2 linked regions of the Macaca fascicularis genome follow. The protein of the gene in region 1 interacts with the protein of each later gene in a biochemical or structural test. Links are inferred from orthologs where the notes say so. Each region holds a gene or a part of one and is shown on either strand. Other genes may lie near its edges.

Region 1 (7,795 bases):
CATTACCTTCTTTGCAAGGGCCTGTTTCCCTTGCTCCCATAACTGTTGTGGGTATTGATGGCCAGGCTTCTAAACCTCTTAAAACTCCCCAACTCTGGTGCCAACTTGGACAACATTCTTTTATGCACTCCTTTTTAGTTATCCCCACCTACCCAGCTCCCTTATTAGGTTGAGGCATTTTAACTAAATTATCTGCCTCCCTGACTTTCCTAGGCCACAGCCACACCTCATTGCCACCCTTGTCCCCAAAGCCTCCTTCGCATCCTCCCCTTTTATGTCCCCACCTTCATCCACAAGTGTAGGTTACCTCTGCTCCCTCCTTGGCGACTGATCATGCACCCCTTACCATCCCATTAAAACCTAATCACCCTTACCCTGCCCAATGCCACTATTCCATCCCACAGCACACTTTAAAAGGATTAAAGCCTGTTATCACTCACCTGCTACAACATGGCCTTTTAAAGCCTATAAACTCTCTTTACAATTCCCCCATTTTACCTGTCCAAAAACCAGACAAGCCTTACAGGTTAGTTCAGGATCTGTGCCTTATCAACCAAACTGTCTTGCCTATCCACCCAGTGGATATATACTCTCCTATCCTCAATACCTCCCTCCACAACCCCTCCATAACCCATTATTCTGTTCTGGATCTCAAACATGCTTTCTTTACTATTCCTTTGCACCCTTCATCCCAGCCTCTCTTTGCTTTCACTTGGACTGACTCTGACACCCATGAGGCTCAGCAAATTACCTGGGCTGTACTGCTGTAAGGCTTCACAGACAGCCCCCATTACTTCAGTCAAGCCCAAATTTCTTCCTCATCCATTACCTATCTGGACATAATTCTTCATGAGAACACACGTGCTCTCCCTGCTGATCATGTCTGGCTAATCTCCCAAGCCCCAACCCCTTCTACAAAACAACAACTCCTTTTCTTCCTAGGCATTAAGTACTTCCGCCTTTGGATACCTAGTTTTACCATCCTAACTAAACCATTATATAAACTCACAAAAGCAAACCTAGCTGACCCCATAGATCCTAAATCCTTTAGCCACTCCTCTTGCCATTCCTTAAAAACAGCACTAGAAGCTGCTCCCACACTAGCTCTCCCTAATTCATCCCAAACCTTTTCATTACACACAGCCAAAGTACAGGGCTGTGCAGTCAAAATTCTTACACAAGAGCCAGGACCATGCCCTGTAGGCTTTCTGTCGAAACAACTTGACCTTACTGTTTTAGGCTGGCCCCCATCCCCATGACTGTATCTCTCTGATCCACCTGACATCCACTCCATTTCCCCATACTTCTGTCTTTCCTATTCCTTACCCTAATCACACTTGGTTTATTGATGGCAGTTCCACCAGGCCTAATCTCCACCCACCAGCAAAGGCAGGGTATGCTATAATATCTTCTACATCTATCATTGAGGCTACCACTCTGCACCCCTCCACTACCTCTCAGCAAGCCAAACTCATTGCCTTAACTTACCTCTCAGCAAGCCAAACTCATTGCCTTAACTCAGGTCCTCACTCTTGCAAAGGGACTATGCATCAATATTTACACTGACTCTAAATATGCCTTCCATATCCTGCACCACTATGCTGTTATATGGGCTGAAAGAGGTTTCCTCACTCTGCAAGGGTCCTCCATCATTAATGCCTCTTTAATAAAAACTCTTCTCAAGGCCACTTTACGTCCAAAGGAAGCTGGAGTCATTCACTGCAAGGGCCATCAAAAGGCATCAGATCCCATTGCTCAAGGCAACACCCATGCTGATAAGGTAGTTATAAAAGCAGCTAGCATTCCAACTTCTGTCCCTCACGGCCAGTTTTTCCTCCCTCTAATCGGTCACTCCCATCTACTCCCACATTGAAACTTCCACCTATCAATCTCTTCCCACACAAGGCAAATAGTTCTTGGACCAAGGAAAATATCTCCTTCCAGCCTCACAGGCCCATTCTATTCTGTCATCATTTCGTAACCTCTTCCATGTAAGTTACAAGCCACTAGCCTGCCTCTTAAAACCCCTCTTTTCCTTTCCATTGTGGAAATCTATCCCCAAGGAAATCACTTCTCAGTATTCCATCTGCTATTCTACTACTCCTCAGGGATTGTTCAGGCCCCCTCCCTTCCCTACACATCAAGCTTGGGGATTTGTCCCTGCAGAGGACTGGTAAATTGACTTTACTCACATGCCCCGAGTCAGGAAACTAAAATACCTCTTGGTCTGGGCAGACACTTTCACTGGATGGGTAGAGGCCTTTCCCACAGGGTCTGAGAAGGCCACCGTGGTCATTTCTTCCCTTCTGTAAGACATAATTCCTTGGTTTGGACTTCCCACCTCTATACAATCTGATAATGGACTGGCCTTTATTAGTCAAATCACCCAAGCAGTTTCTCAGGCTCTTAGTAGTCAGTAAAACCTTCATACTCCTTACTCTCCTCAATCTTCAGGAAAGGTAGAAAGGACTAATGGCCTTTTAAAAACACACCTCACCAAGCTCAGCCTCCAACTTAAGAAGGAGGACTCTGTCAAGGATAGAGCCCAAAAACTCAGCAACCAAGCAACTAATTATGTTGAACCCCCTCAGGCACTCTCTAATTAGATGTCCTGGGTCCTCCCAATTCTTAGTCCTTTAATACCTGTTTTTCTCCTTCTCTTATTCAGACCTTATGTCTTCTGTTTAGTTTCTCAATTCATACAAAACCATATCCAGGCTATCACCAATCATTCTATACGACAAATGCTCCCACTAACAACCCCACAATATCAACCTTTACCACAAAATCTTTCTTCAGCTTAATCTCTCCCACTCTAGGTTCCCATGCCACCCCTAATCCTGCTCGAAGCAGCCCTGAGAAACATTGCCCGTTATCTCTCCATACCACCCCCAAAATTTTTGCCACCCCAACACTTTACTCCTATTTCATTTTATTTTTCTTATTAATATGAGAAGACAGGAATGTCAGGCCTCTGGGCCTAAGCCTGAACACATACATCCAGATGGCCTGAAGTAACTGAAGAATGACAAAAGAAGTGAAAATAGTCGGTTCCTGCCTTAACTGATGACATTACCTTGTGAAATTCCTTCTCCTGGCTCAGAAGCTCTCCCACTGAGCACCTTGTGACCCCCACCCCTGCCCACCAGAGAACAACCCCTTTGACTGTAATTTTCCGTTACCTACCCAAATCCTGTAAAATGGCCCCACCCCTATCTCGCTTCCCTGACTCTCTTTTTGGACTCAGCCTTCCTGCACCCAGGTGATTAAAAAGCTTTATTGCTCACACAAAGCCTGTTTGGTGGTCTCTTCACACAGATGCACGTGACATTAAATATATGCAATACTTCAGCCCAATGTCCTAACCTATTAAAATTGCTTTTACTTTGCTTTTCCTATCTAATATGTCGGGCACTATTTATAGATATTTTGGCCAAGCAACCAGTTGATTTCTAGGACATTCTCTATTTCAAGTATACCATCTGGTTATTCTCAGAACAGAAACCATGATGTTGCTCCCACTAATTGCAATTTCATCAACCAGGTTCATTTATCAGATTTTCTTCCCCAGAGGTGATAAAAATAAAAAAATAAAAAATAAAAAAACTTTTTTTTCCAGTTTATGTTCTCCTACTTTTGGCTTGAAAAATATGTTTATCACCTCAATTGATAAATTAATAAGTCATATGGTAGATTTCCCATATCAGAATTGCAAACGGTTTTGTTAAATTAACTGGGAAGATGTGATTACCCTGACATCTGTCAAGATCTATGCAGGAAGATGGACCGCAAGAGAAGGAAATCTGTAAATATGATGAATTTATATGAGTTGAGAGGCAGGAGACTTTAAAACACCATTAAATCCATTAAAAAATCAAAATGGGGAGTGAGCAATGTGAAATCTGTGTGACCCAAGGGTCAAGTTCTCGTTCAGCTCATCAGCTATATGACCCCCAAGCACCTTCACTTCTGCCCTCCTTCTAGGAGCCTTAGGGGTTTTGTTTGTAAAATTAGAAAAATCCATGGTGAAACTAAGGACAAACCTGTAGTGATGACTACAGATGATCCCTAACTTATGAATCTCATCTGGGCAGTGAGGCCAGGAGACAGCCCTACTCCAGGTTGAGGAGGCACGTAGCTACTGGGTGTTCCCTAAGGAACGGGGAACACGTACTCAGTGAAAAGCCATGCCTTTAGCAGCTCAAAACACTGCCTGAAACAGCCAGATTTTTACCAGTCTGTAAAGGCCATTTGATCAGATTAAATCACATGTGAACTCACTGCAATTTAACAAGAAAGCAAGTACAGAGATGAGCCATCCAGGGTGCTCTCCCAGGTGTGGACAGCAGCTGTGACAGCCCAGAACCACGGCATGAGCTTGCCTGTTCCCTGGGTAAGTGCAGCAAATCCTTCCAGCAACAGTGCTGGGTACAGAATGGAGCATGCTTGCATCGAGTCCTGCCTCCTGGCAGCCTTCAAAAACTCTCCCGGAAAAAAATAATATGAACGTTAAAATCACATCACCAGTACACGTGAACCTGGCACGCACCGTGGAGAAGGTGTGCTGTCACAAAGAGGAGACAGGAAAATAGACACCTTGTAACCAACCTTCCCAATCTTCCACAGGGAAATCCTAGCCCAGCACCCAATACAGGGCCAGGCACAGAGCCAGCACCCACTACTGCGGAGAACTGGCAGTAAGGGATTTGGTTTCAGTAACATCTTGTCGTTAACATCCTGATACGCTAAATGAGGTGGAATGTCATGGCAATTTTCTGGACAATTCCATTGAAATTACCTTTATGTGTGACACGACAGAATGTTATTTCCCTCCCCCCGGTAGAGTCATTTCCCTAGATAGGGACACAACCAAGGAAGGTCCTTACAGTTTTGCTACAATATCATTGTACCTATAACAATATCACTGTACTAGTTTCCTATAACTGCTGCTATAGGGGCATAACCACAAACTCAGTGGTTAAAAACAACAAAAATTTATTATCTTACCATTCTAGAGATTGGGTCTTACTGGGCTAAAATCAAGACATCAGCAGGGCTTGTTCCTCCAGGATGCTCCACAGGGAAACTGTTTCCTCGCCCTTTTCAACTTCTAGAGGCCACCTGCATTCCTTGGCTCATGGACCTTCATCTTCAAAGCCAGCAGTGTAACACCTTCAAACCTCTCTCTGCCTCTGACCCTTCTGCCTCTCCCTTTTTCTTATTAGCCTTGTGAGCACCCAATCCTGTGAGTACATTGGGCCCATCGAGAAAATCCAGAGTAAACTCCCCATCTCAAAGTCCTTAACTGAATCCCATTGATAGAAACGCTTTTGCCAGCTATGGGAACACACGCACAGGTACCGGGGCTCCGCACAGGGACATCTCTGGGGGGTCCTATTCCGCCTACTACAATCACAAGGTGAAGTGGTCCTACAATTACCAATTTCTGAAAGGGCACAGGGCTTCAGTGAGAATCCAGATTCCACGTTATTCAGCACCTTTATAGTGGTAGGCGTTCCTCCGGGACTGTGCTTTAAGAGGCAAGTGTTCCTGAATGGGAAGAAAAGAGGTGACTTTGCTTCCTGCACTTTGAGGTGGACGTAGCAGTCCAGGTAACATTTAGTATTCAAACGGACAGTGGAAAAAACAATGATGCTGATAATGAGTGGGTTAGGGGTTTGCATTATTAATCAAATGGACATCCTTCTCCTCACAAAGGGGTCAAGGGAAAGTTGGGGTGAGAATGAGGCAGGAGACACCATGACACTAAACCCTCATTCTATAAGTAAGGCCTATGCGTGGGGCAAATGGAACTTCAGGAAAAATGACACCAAAATTCACTTCAGGAAAGCAAAAAATGACACAGACGTCAGAAAATGACTTCAGAAACAATGACACCGAAATTTCGCTTCAGGAAAAATGACACCACAACTGAGAAGAGCATGGAGTGATCGACAGTAGAGACTGGGAAGGTGATAGAGAGGTGGGAAAGGGGCAGGTGATGACAAATTGCTTAGTGGGTACAATGTACGTGACTCCAGTGATGGATATACCAAAAGCCCAGACTTTACCACTGTACAATACACCAAGGTAACAAAATTACACTTGTACCCCATACATCTATGCAAACAAAAATGAGATTTAAAAATAAGGAAAGAAATTCACAAGTTAAAATCAAATTGTGATTAGCTCTACGAATGAAATAAACAGAGCTGAATGTAGCTTAAAAGAGAATGCTCAGAAATGGCCCTTTGGAGGGGACGGTATTGAGGAAAGACCTGAAAGAATCAGCCTTTGGAGAAGTGGTGGAAGAGGATGCCAGGCTTTGAAGATGGGGTACAATTACCTGCCAGAGGAAAAGAGTAGAGAAACAAATAAAATTAAATGAATTATTTAACTTTAAAATGAAGGGCCGGGAGCAGTGGCTCATGCCTGTAATCCCAGCGCTTTGGGAGGCCCAGGTGGGTGGATCACGAGATCAGGAGTTCCAGACCAGCCTGAGCAACATGGTAAAACCCCGTCTCTAGTAAAAACATAAAAATTAGCTAGGTGTGGTGGTGGGCGCCTGTAGTCCTAGCTACATGGGAGGCTGAGGAAGGAGGATTGCTTGAAGCCAGGAAGCACAGGTTGCAGTGAGCCGAGATTGCGCCACTGCACTCCAGCCTGGGCAACACGCGAGACTCCGTCTCAAAAAAAAAAAAAAAAGAAGATAAAAATATAAAATAGAGTAAGTAAATAAGGAAAGTGGTTAGGAGTAAAAGCCCTGTTTGGTTTTTAGTTTGGGAACAAAAGAGGTTGTGAAGAATACAGTGAAATCCTGGGGGCACTAATATAAAGAACAAACACCATGAATTGTACTCACCGGTACTCTGCATTGTGAAAAGTTTGTGTGGCATATGAAAAAAATTGGCAGCGAATGTTATTGGTGCACCTTTTTTGGCATTCTTCAACACTGCTAACCTTAGATACATTAAAATTGACTCCTCTCATATCAATTCCTTTATAAATGTCTCGGTGGCAAGCTGTACAAGAAAAAGGAAATAGAGCAAACACAGTCCATTTTCTTTCTAGAGGTAGATTAGATACCCACTACCATTTGGGCTGGTAGTTTAGAAGGATCCCACTACCATTTGGGCCGGTAGTTTAGAAGGATAACAGCCCAGTTTTGGCAATTGCTATATTAATTAAGGGATTTAAAATTTTTATGATGTCCATAAATTATCAAACTCTGCTCGAAGTAAATACAATCCAGTATTTTCCTGAAAGCACTAGCTTGGAAATTGGGTTACTTCGCTTCTTAAACTGCAAGATGCATGCAGCAATACAGGTAAATTTCACGTTGAAATTAACAGTGAGCAGTGGGAAATAAACAAGGCAATAATAATGAGGACACTGATCATGTGTGCTGAGGTTTGCATTATTAAAGAAACTGATGTGCCTTTGACCTTTTGCATTGAATGAAGGAGCTTCTCTATCTCCCAGTGTTCTTTCTCTGCTTTCAACTTCTCCTGTCTGACTACAAATTGCATCTGGATCAATCGTTACAAAATGTGGAGAGTTGTTGTTTATGCATGATGAAGCCACTTCCATTCTTGCTTTAAAATAGTGTTAACTTCTATTTAAGCACCCTTTTCACTGAGATTTGTCTTACATGCAAAAGATATAGATAATTCTTTTCACAGACAAGGAAGCAAAATTAGGCTCTTTTTTTTTTTAAATATTCAAATTTCTTAGTTAGACTTTTGGTTAAGGAAGTAATGTAAACCAGAAGTCTAAACCATAAACTTTTTTAAAG
Region 2 (7,795 bases), on another chromosome or scaffold:
AAAACCTATGCCTAGGTCCCCAGAAGTGAGGAGAAAAAAGAATAATAAACAAACATAGCCAAGTGCTGTGTGATAAATGTGATAAAAACATGTATAGTATAAAATCTGCAATTTTAACAGTTGTAAAGGATATAGTTCAGTGGCACTAATTCCATTCACAATGTCATGCAACCCATCACCATTTCCAAAAGTTTTCATCACCCCAAACAGAAATTCTCTACCCACTGAGCAATACACCCCCATTCTCTCCTCCTCTCCACTCACAAATTCACATCTACTCACTGTCTCTATGAATTTGCTTATTCTAGATGTTTCATGTAAGTGGAATCATACCATATTTTGTGTGTGTGTCTGGCTTATTTCACTTAACATCATATTTTCAAGCTTCATCCACATTGTAGCATGTATCAGAATTTCATTGTTTTTAAAGGGTGAACAGTGTTTCATTGTGTATATATATGATAGCACATTTTCTTTTTTTTTTTTTTTTTTGAGACGGAGCCTGGCTCAGTCACCCAGGCTGGAGGTGCAGTGGCGCGATCTTGGCTCACTGCAAGCTCCGCCTCCCGGGTTCACGCCATTCTCCTGCCTCAGCCTCCGGAGTAGCTGGGACTACAGGCGCCCGCCATCATGTCCGGCTAATTTTTTGTATTTTCAGTAGAGACGGGGTTTCACTGTGTTAGCCAGAATGGTCTCGATCTCCTGACCTCGTGATCCGCCCGCCTCGACCTCCCAAAGTGCTGGGACTACAGGCGTGAGCCACCGCGCCCGCCTGATAGCACATTTTCTTTATCCATTCACCTGTTGATGGACACTTGGGTTGTTTCGACTTTCTGGCTATTATGAATTTTGCTGCTATAAATATTCACGTGTAAGCATGTGTTTGAATATGCGTTTCCATTTCTTTGGGCATATACCTAAGAGAGCAACTTCTGGATCATATAGTAATTCTATAGTTAAGTTTTTCAGAAATTGCCAAATTATTTTCTATAATGGTTGCAGCATTTTACAGTCCTACTGGCAATGCACAGAAGTTCTAATTTCTCCATGCCCTTTCTAATACTTGTTATTTTGTGAACAAAAAGAGGTTTTTTATATATTCTGCATGTTAAACTCTTGTCAGATACATGATTTGCAAATATTTTCTCTCATTCTGTGAGTTGTATTTTTACTCCCTTGACAGCGTTCTTTTTACTTTTTTCTCAATAAAATAAATGCATGCTCAATTAGAAAACTCGGGAAGTATCAAAAAGTTCCAAAAAATATAAAGAATCAGAAAAAGCGGCTGGGCGTGGTGGCTCGCACCTGTAATACCAGCACTTTGGAAGGCCAAGGTGGCTGGATCACCTGACGTCAGGAGTTCGAACCCAGCCTGGCCAACACGGCGAAACCCCCATCTGTACTAAAAATACAAAAATTTGCCGGGCATGGCAGCGGGCGCCTGTAATCCCAGCTACTCAGGGAGGCTGAGGCATGAGAATCACTTGAACTCTGGAGGCGGAGGTTGCAGTGAGCTGAGATTGCACCACTGCACTCCAGCCTGGGTGACAGAGCAAGACTCCTTCTCAAAAAAAAAAAAGAAAGAAAGAAAAGAAAAAGCACCCAAAATTCCAAATGAAAGTTAACTACATTCTATATTTTGTCGTAATTTGTTTTCCATCACTTTTTATATTTATATTTATTTTACATATTTAAATAAATCTGCATGTATAGCTTTGTATCCCACTTTTTTTGTTTTTTACTTAACATTGTAACCATTTCACTATGTCACTAAAAATTAAAAATTTTTGATAGCTGTATCATGTTAAACTCTTGCAAATATTTTCTCTCATTCTGTGGGTTGTATTTTTACTCTGTATGGATATACTGTAATTTACTTAACCATTCTCTAATGTTGCATAAACAATTTATTTACAATATTTTTCTATTAAAAAGCAACTGAAATTAACATCTTATGGTCTGGATTTCCCATATAAAAGAATTAGCAGCAGAATTACTAGATCAAAGGACTTGTAGCAATTCCTTGCCTAAAGCACAGTCTTCTGCTCACATGCAAACATCCCTGGGCACATATCATGTCTTAGCCATCTTAACATTCACTGGCTACTACTACCTTGAGAGACACCATTTTAATATAATTTTGGTTCAGATAACAAGATACGATGCTAGGAAGGACCACTAAGGGCTAGAGACTCAGGGTCTGTTTATTAAAGATAAAGGTAGGGAAGAGAAGATGAGAAAACAAGCAGAGGAAAGTTTGACATGAAGAATAACCCTGGGGAGAGCAAGGGAATACCATATGGGCATTGAGCACACGGGGAAGAAAAGGAAATAGGAAAGTGTGGAGACATAATGAAGATACACTTGACAGTTCAAGCATTTTGTCTATTCGTCGTCCCTGGTTACACTCTGTAAATACTTACCGCTGGCCAGGCGCGGTGGCTCTCGCCTGTAATTCCAGCACTTTGGGAGACCAAGGTGGGCGGATCACCTGAGATCAGGAGTTCCAGACCACCCTGGCCAACACGGTAAAACCCTGTCTCTACTATAAATACAAAAATTAGCCATGCATGGTGGTTGGCGCCTGTAGTCCTAGCTACTTGGGAGGCTGAGGCAGGAGAATAGCTTGAACCTGGGAGGTGGAGGCTGCAGTGAGACGAGATTGCACCACTGCACTCCAGCATGGGGAACAGAGTGAGACTCTGTCTCAAAAAATAAATAAAATAAAATAAAGTTATAAAAAAATACTTAATGCTAGCTGTGCAGATTCTTTGGCCAGGTAGGTAAGGCAGCTTGACCAGTGATGTGAGCTTTAGGCTTCCCGAGTGAATGTGAATATGAATTGCTGAATGTCATCTAAAATTTTCGTGACGGTCTTCCCACTCAGCTTGATAGTTACCATCAAAATGTAAACAAAATGCTAAGAACTTTATCATTAAATTTTTGCCCACTTACACCATTCCAAAGGGACTTGCAGTCTGGAGTTAAGAACAGAAAATTCTCTTTGGAACAATTCGTTTGCACAATTGAGTAGGTAATTAGAAAGTTCCATCCAGCCACCACCTGAAACAATTTCAGATTGAATATTTAAAGGGCGGTTTAAACATTATTCGCTGTGGGATATGAATGTTATGAGGAGGTTAGAAAACTGTGTGGCAATATAAAAAGTGCTCAAGAAATATAAATTATTATTATTACTAGGCAAAAAAATGCTGAATAAACATTGAGCACCTTAACACACATCTCTCACACAAACACACATACACTATACACACACACACACACACACCACTAGCCATCTGAAAATGACAAGCTATTTATATATATTTTGCTATTTTTCAGCCAGGTTTGGAACATGGATTTCTTTAAGTAAATCCTAACAATGGTCCCCCTGCCAGGCTGCAGAGAGAAATGTTTACTGAATTTCATAAAATAGTAATGCCCTTCTAGATGGACAAAGAAAACTTTGGAGGGGAGTGGTCTTTACTGCTGGGTCCTCAGGCTCCCAGGTTACCAAGTAGTAAGATTTCTCCTACTTTAGTCTGGGCCTCTCCCACCCTGATAGCTCTATATGGACATCATTGAGTAAAGCATGCTCACATGAAAGCAAGTTGTAAGGTTTATTAAATGCAGAGAATGTTGCTGACCAAAGGGAATCACTCATAATAAGAGGCTGAAATATAAGCGACCCAGTCAACTATCAGAAAAGTCTGCGTGGGCCAGGCGTGGTGGCTCATGCCTGTAATCCTAGCACTTTGGGAGACTGAGATAGGTGCATCACCTGAGGTCAGGAGTTCAAGACCAGCCTGGCCAACTTGGGGAAACCTTGTCTCTACCGAAAATACAAAAATTAGCCGAGTGTGGTGGCGGGTGCCTGTAAGCCCAGCTATTTGGGAGGCTGAGGCAGGAGATCTCTTAAACTTGGGAGGTGGAGGTTGCAGTGAACTGAGATAGCACCACTGTACTCCAGCCTGGGCAAAAGAACAAGACTCTGTCTCAAAAAAAAAAAAAAAAAAAAAAAGGAAGAAATTCTGGTTGTACTGAATCATTAAGAAGATTTGTAGCTGAGCACAGTGGCTCAGGCCTGTAATCCCAGCACTTTGGGAGGCCGAGGTGGGAGGATGACTTGAGGTTGGGAGTTCGAGACCAGCCTGGCCAACATGGTGACCCCTCATGTACTAAAAGTACAAAAATTAGCCAGATGTGGTGACGCGTGCCTGTAATCCCAGTTCCTCGGGAGGCTGAGGCAGGAGAATCACTTGAACCTGGGAGGCAGAGGTTACAGTGAGCCAAGATCGTACCATTGCTCCAGCCTAGGCAACAGAGCGAGACTGTCAAAAAAAAAAAAAAAAACAAAAAACAAAAAACCACACACAAAAAAACCAAAAAAACAAAACAAAAAACAGATTTATGGATATTTACTTTTTTTTTTTTCTGTTGATATGGGAACTGTAACTTAGTGGGTAGCCAGAAAGCCATGCCGACCATTGTAGACACAATGTAATATTTTGGAGCTGTGTTAACTCATGATTGCTAGGTGATAGTAGAGTTTTCTGAAAATCCTAAGGCCACTATGACTTTCCTTTTCACTGTCTCTAGGAAGAGCCTGTAATGACGATTACCCATTTGTTAAAATCAAACGTCAAAGGAAGGGAGTCTGATTAGACATCTTTTCTCACTTTACATGTATCCAACTCACTTTGACTAAGGAGAAAGCCCTTTGCTTCCTGTGCTAGTCACATGAAAACACCACCAGCCATGCAATCATACATTTTAAACGTAAAGATCTAACACATTTTAGTAATACTAGGTGACCTAGAGAATTAAAGAACAAACCTGTCTTTGGGCCCGTTTTACTTCACTAAGCGTGAAGAGGGAGGAACGTTGAGTGTTGTTGTTAAAGTACTGAACGCCGTGTCTCAGAATGGGCTCCAGGTCTGGGCTCTGCGTTGATATAGGATGCACACAGCCAAGGCAGTTATACTGGGCTGTCACCACAGGGCCCTCGGCTTAACAAAGAACAGACAAAAACGCAGCATTAATGATTACAATCAGCATTCACATACATTGCCCTAAACAAAGAAGAGGCTGGGCATGGTGGCTCACTCCTGTAAAACCAGCACTTTAGGAGGCAGAGGCGGGTAGATCACCTGAGGTCAGGAGTTCAAAACCAGCCTGGCCAACATGGTGAAACCCCATCTCTCCTAAAAATACAAAAAATAAGCCGGGTGTGGTGGCGTATGCCTGTAGTCAAAGCTACACGGGACGCTGAGGCAGGAGTATTGCTTGAACCCAGGAGATGGAGGTTGCAGTGAGCCGAGATCATGCCACTGCACTCCAGCCTGGGAGACAGAGCAAGACTCTGTCTCAAAAGAAAAAAAATTTTTTTGCAAACCATTCATCCCACAAGGGACTAACATCCAGCATATACAAGGAATTTAATTAACTCACCAATTAAAAAACCAAGTAGTCCCATTAAAAAGTGGGCAAAGGATCTCAGTAGGCATTTCTCAAAAGAAGACATACAAATGGCCAACAGATATGTGAAAAAATGCCCAATATCACTAAGCATTAGGGAAATGCAAATCGAAACCATTATGAGATGAGATATCATCTTACCCATTAGAATGGCTATTATTAAAAAGAGTGTGTATTAAATTACCAAGTAATGTTCATAACAGATAGCCCTAACCTACTGGTCAATAGAGGCAAAGTCCATAAAAAGGTAACATAGCTGAAGAGTGAGCGGCACACCTGGAGGGACCCCCTGGGAGCCTGGGCTTCTTCACCCACCAAGCTCTCGCTGCTTGCTGTGTAAGCGGCAAACACAGCTAGGAGGGTATGGAGAAAAGGGAACGCTTATGCACTGTTGGTAAGAATGTAAATTAGTACAACCACTATGGAAAATAGTGTGGAGATTTCTCAAGAAATGAAAACACCAAATACCATATATCCAGTAGTCCAGCTACTGGGCATCTACCCAGACGAAAAGAAATCAGTCTATCAAAGGGGTACTTCCACTCCCAGGTTGGTCGCAGCAGTATTCACAATAGCAAAGATATGAAACCAACTTAAGTGTCCATCAAAAGGTTAATGAATAAAGAAAATGTGGGGGACCAGGTGCGGTGGCTCACACCTGTAATCCCAGCAGTATGGGAGGCTAAGGTGGGCAGATCACCTGAGGTCAGAAGTTCGAGACCGGCCTGACCAACATGGTGAAACCCCATCTCTACTAAAAATACAAAAATTATCTGGGCGTGGTGGCGGGTGCCCATAATCCTAGCTATTCAGGAGGCTGAGGCTGGAGAATTGCTTGAACCCCAGAGCTTGCAGTGAGCCAAGATTGTGCCACTGTACCCCAGCCTGGGTGACAGTGCGAGACTCCATCTCAAAAAGAAAAAAAAAGAAAATGTGGTATATATGCATAATGAAATACTATTTGACCATAAACAAAGAATGAAATCATATCATTTAAAGCCACATGGACAGAACTGGAGGTTGTTCAGTGAAACAACCGAAGCACAGAAAGACAAACTGCACATTGTTCTCGCTCATATTTGGAAGGTAAAACACTTAATCACATGGAGATAGAGGAGAGAAGAGAATGACGGATACCAGAGGCTGAGCAGGGCAGGGAAGTAGAAGGGGGAAATGAAGAGCTTGGTAAAATAGGTACTGAATTATAGTTAGATAGAAGAAATACGTTCTAATGTTATATAGCAGACTAGGGTGACTATAGTTAGCAACAATATATTGTATATTTCAAAGTAGCTAGAAGAGAGGACTTGAAATATCACCAATTCATAGACATGATAAATATTCCAGGTGATGGGTACCCCAAATACTCTGACTTGATCATTACATGTTCAAGGCATGTAAAAAACACTTACATGTACCTCATAAATATGTAAAATATAATGTATCAGTAAAAGAAAAAAAGAAGGAGAAGTTAATACATGTAAGGAGCTTCGAGTCATGGCTGGGACATAAGGACTCAATACATGTTAGCTATTATCTTTATCCTGATTGTTGCTAATATGTTATTATGATTAATATGTTAGTATGTTGATTGTACCTCCAGACATATCATCTCATTTCAGCCTCACGACAGTCCTGTGAGGTGGGAAGTACTGTTACCTCCCTTTTCTAGACAACGAAAAGGACAGCCAAGAAGGTGAGGAGCTCTGAAAGATTCCAGGTCAGGGCTGCCCTCAAAGCCTATGCACTCCTCACTCTGGGATGCTGCCTACAATAGAGGGCAGGCAGGTCTTGTGCCTCCTGGTCCTTCTGCAGAGCCCTTGCACATACTGGGTACAATGCAGCACACGGGAAGAGTTGGGATAGTCCTAAGGGGATGATGGTCACAAGCCTGGCCCACCCTCCGGGCTCTGCCGCTCCACCCAATGCTCCCTAATTGTGCAAATGGCTTTACTACTGCCGCCCTCTGGGAGCAAGCAGAGCCTGGTCAAGGTTGTGTTCCTGGCACACAGAAGCGGTTAATTTCCCACCAGGGCAGTGCCAGAGGATAAACCAGCTACCTGGAGTAATCTGGCAGGTCTGGGTAGCCACAGAGAATTTCATACTCGCCCTCTTCCCCACAGTTGCCGTGCATTCTCCAGTGGCCTAAAAAGAAAAGAAAGATCATTTATCCTAATCTTTCAGATGGGAAAGTCTACCTAGTACTGTTGCTAAATGTGGCTTTCCTTAAAAAAACAAAACAAAACAGAACTTGTGAAGATTTTATCCAAAAGAGTTTTGAGACATGAGAATAAATGTTTTTTTTTTATAGCCTAAT

The links. The genes of interacting proteins can lie anywhere in the genome.
Region 2: the proteins of KLKB1 (region 1) and KNG1 form a complex in vitro, tested with the Homo sapiens proteins (4 studies listed by BioGRID). The link is inferred for Macaca fascicularis from reciprocal best matches to the Homo sapiens genes KLKB1 and KNG1.

Annotation. Positions count from the first base shown.
Region 1 is NC_088379.1:190,992,541-191,000,335, reverse strand, and holds part of KLKB1 (plasma kallikrein), read right to left. Parts: intron 7,023-7,795; coding exon 6,863-7,022; intron 5,551-6,862; coding exon 5,441-5,550; intron 1-5,440. UniProt on the Homo sapiens protein: Participates in the surface-dependent activation of blood coagulation. Activates, in a reciprocal reaction, coagulation factor XII/F12 after binding to negatively charged surfaces.
Region 2 is NC_088376.1:11,773,439-11,781,233, forward strand, and holds part of KNG1 (kininogen-1), read right to left. Parts: intron 7,624-7,795; coding exon 7,539-7,623; intron 5,010-7,538; coding exon 4,837-5,009; intron 3,064-4,836; coding exon 2,956-3,063; intron 1-2,955. UniProt on the Homo sapiens protein: Kininogens are inhibitors of thiol proteases.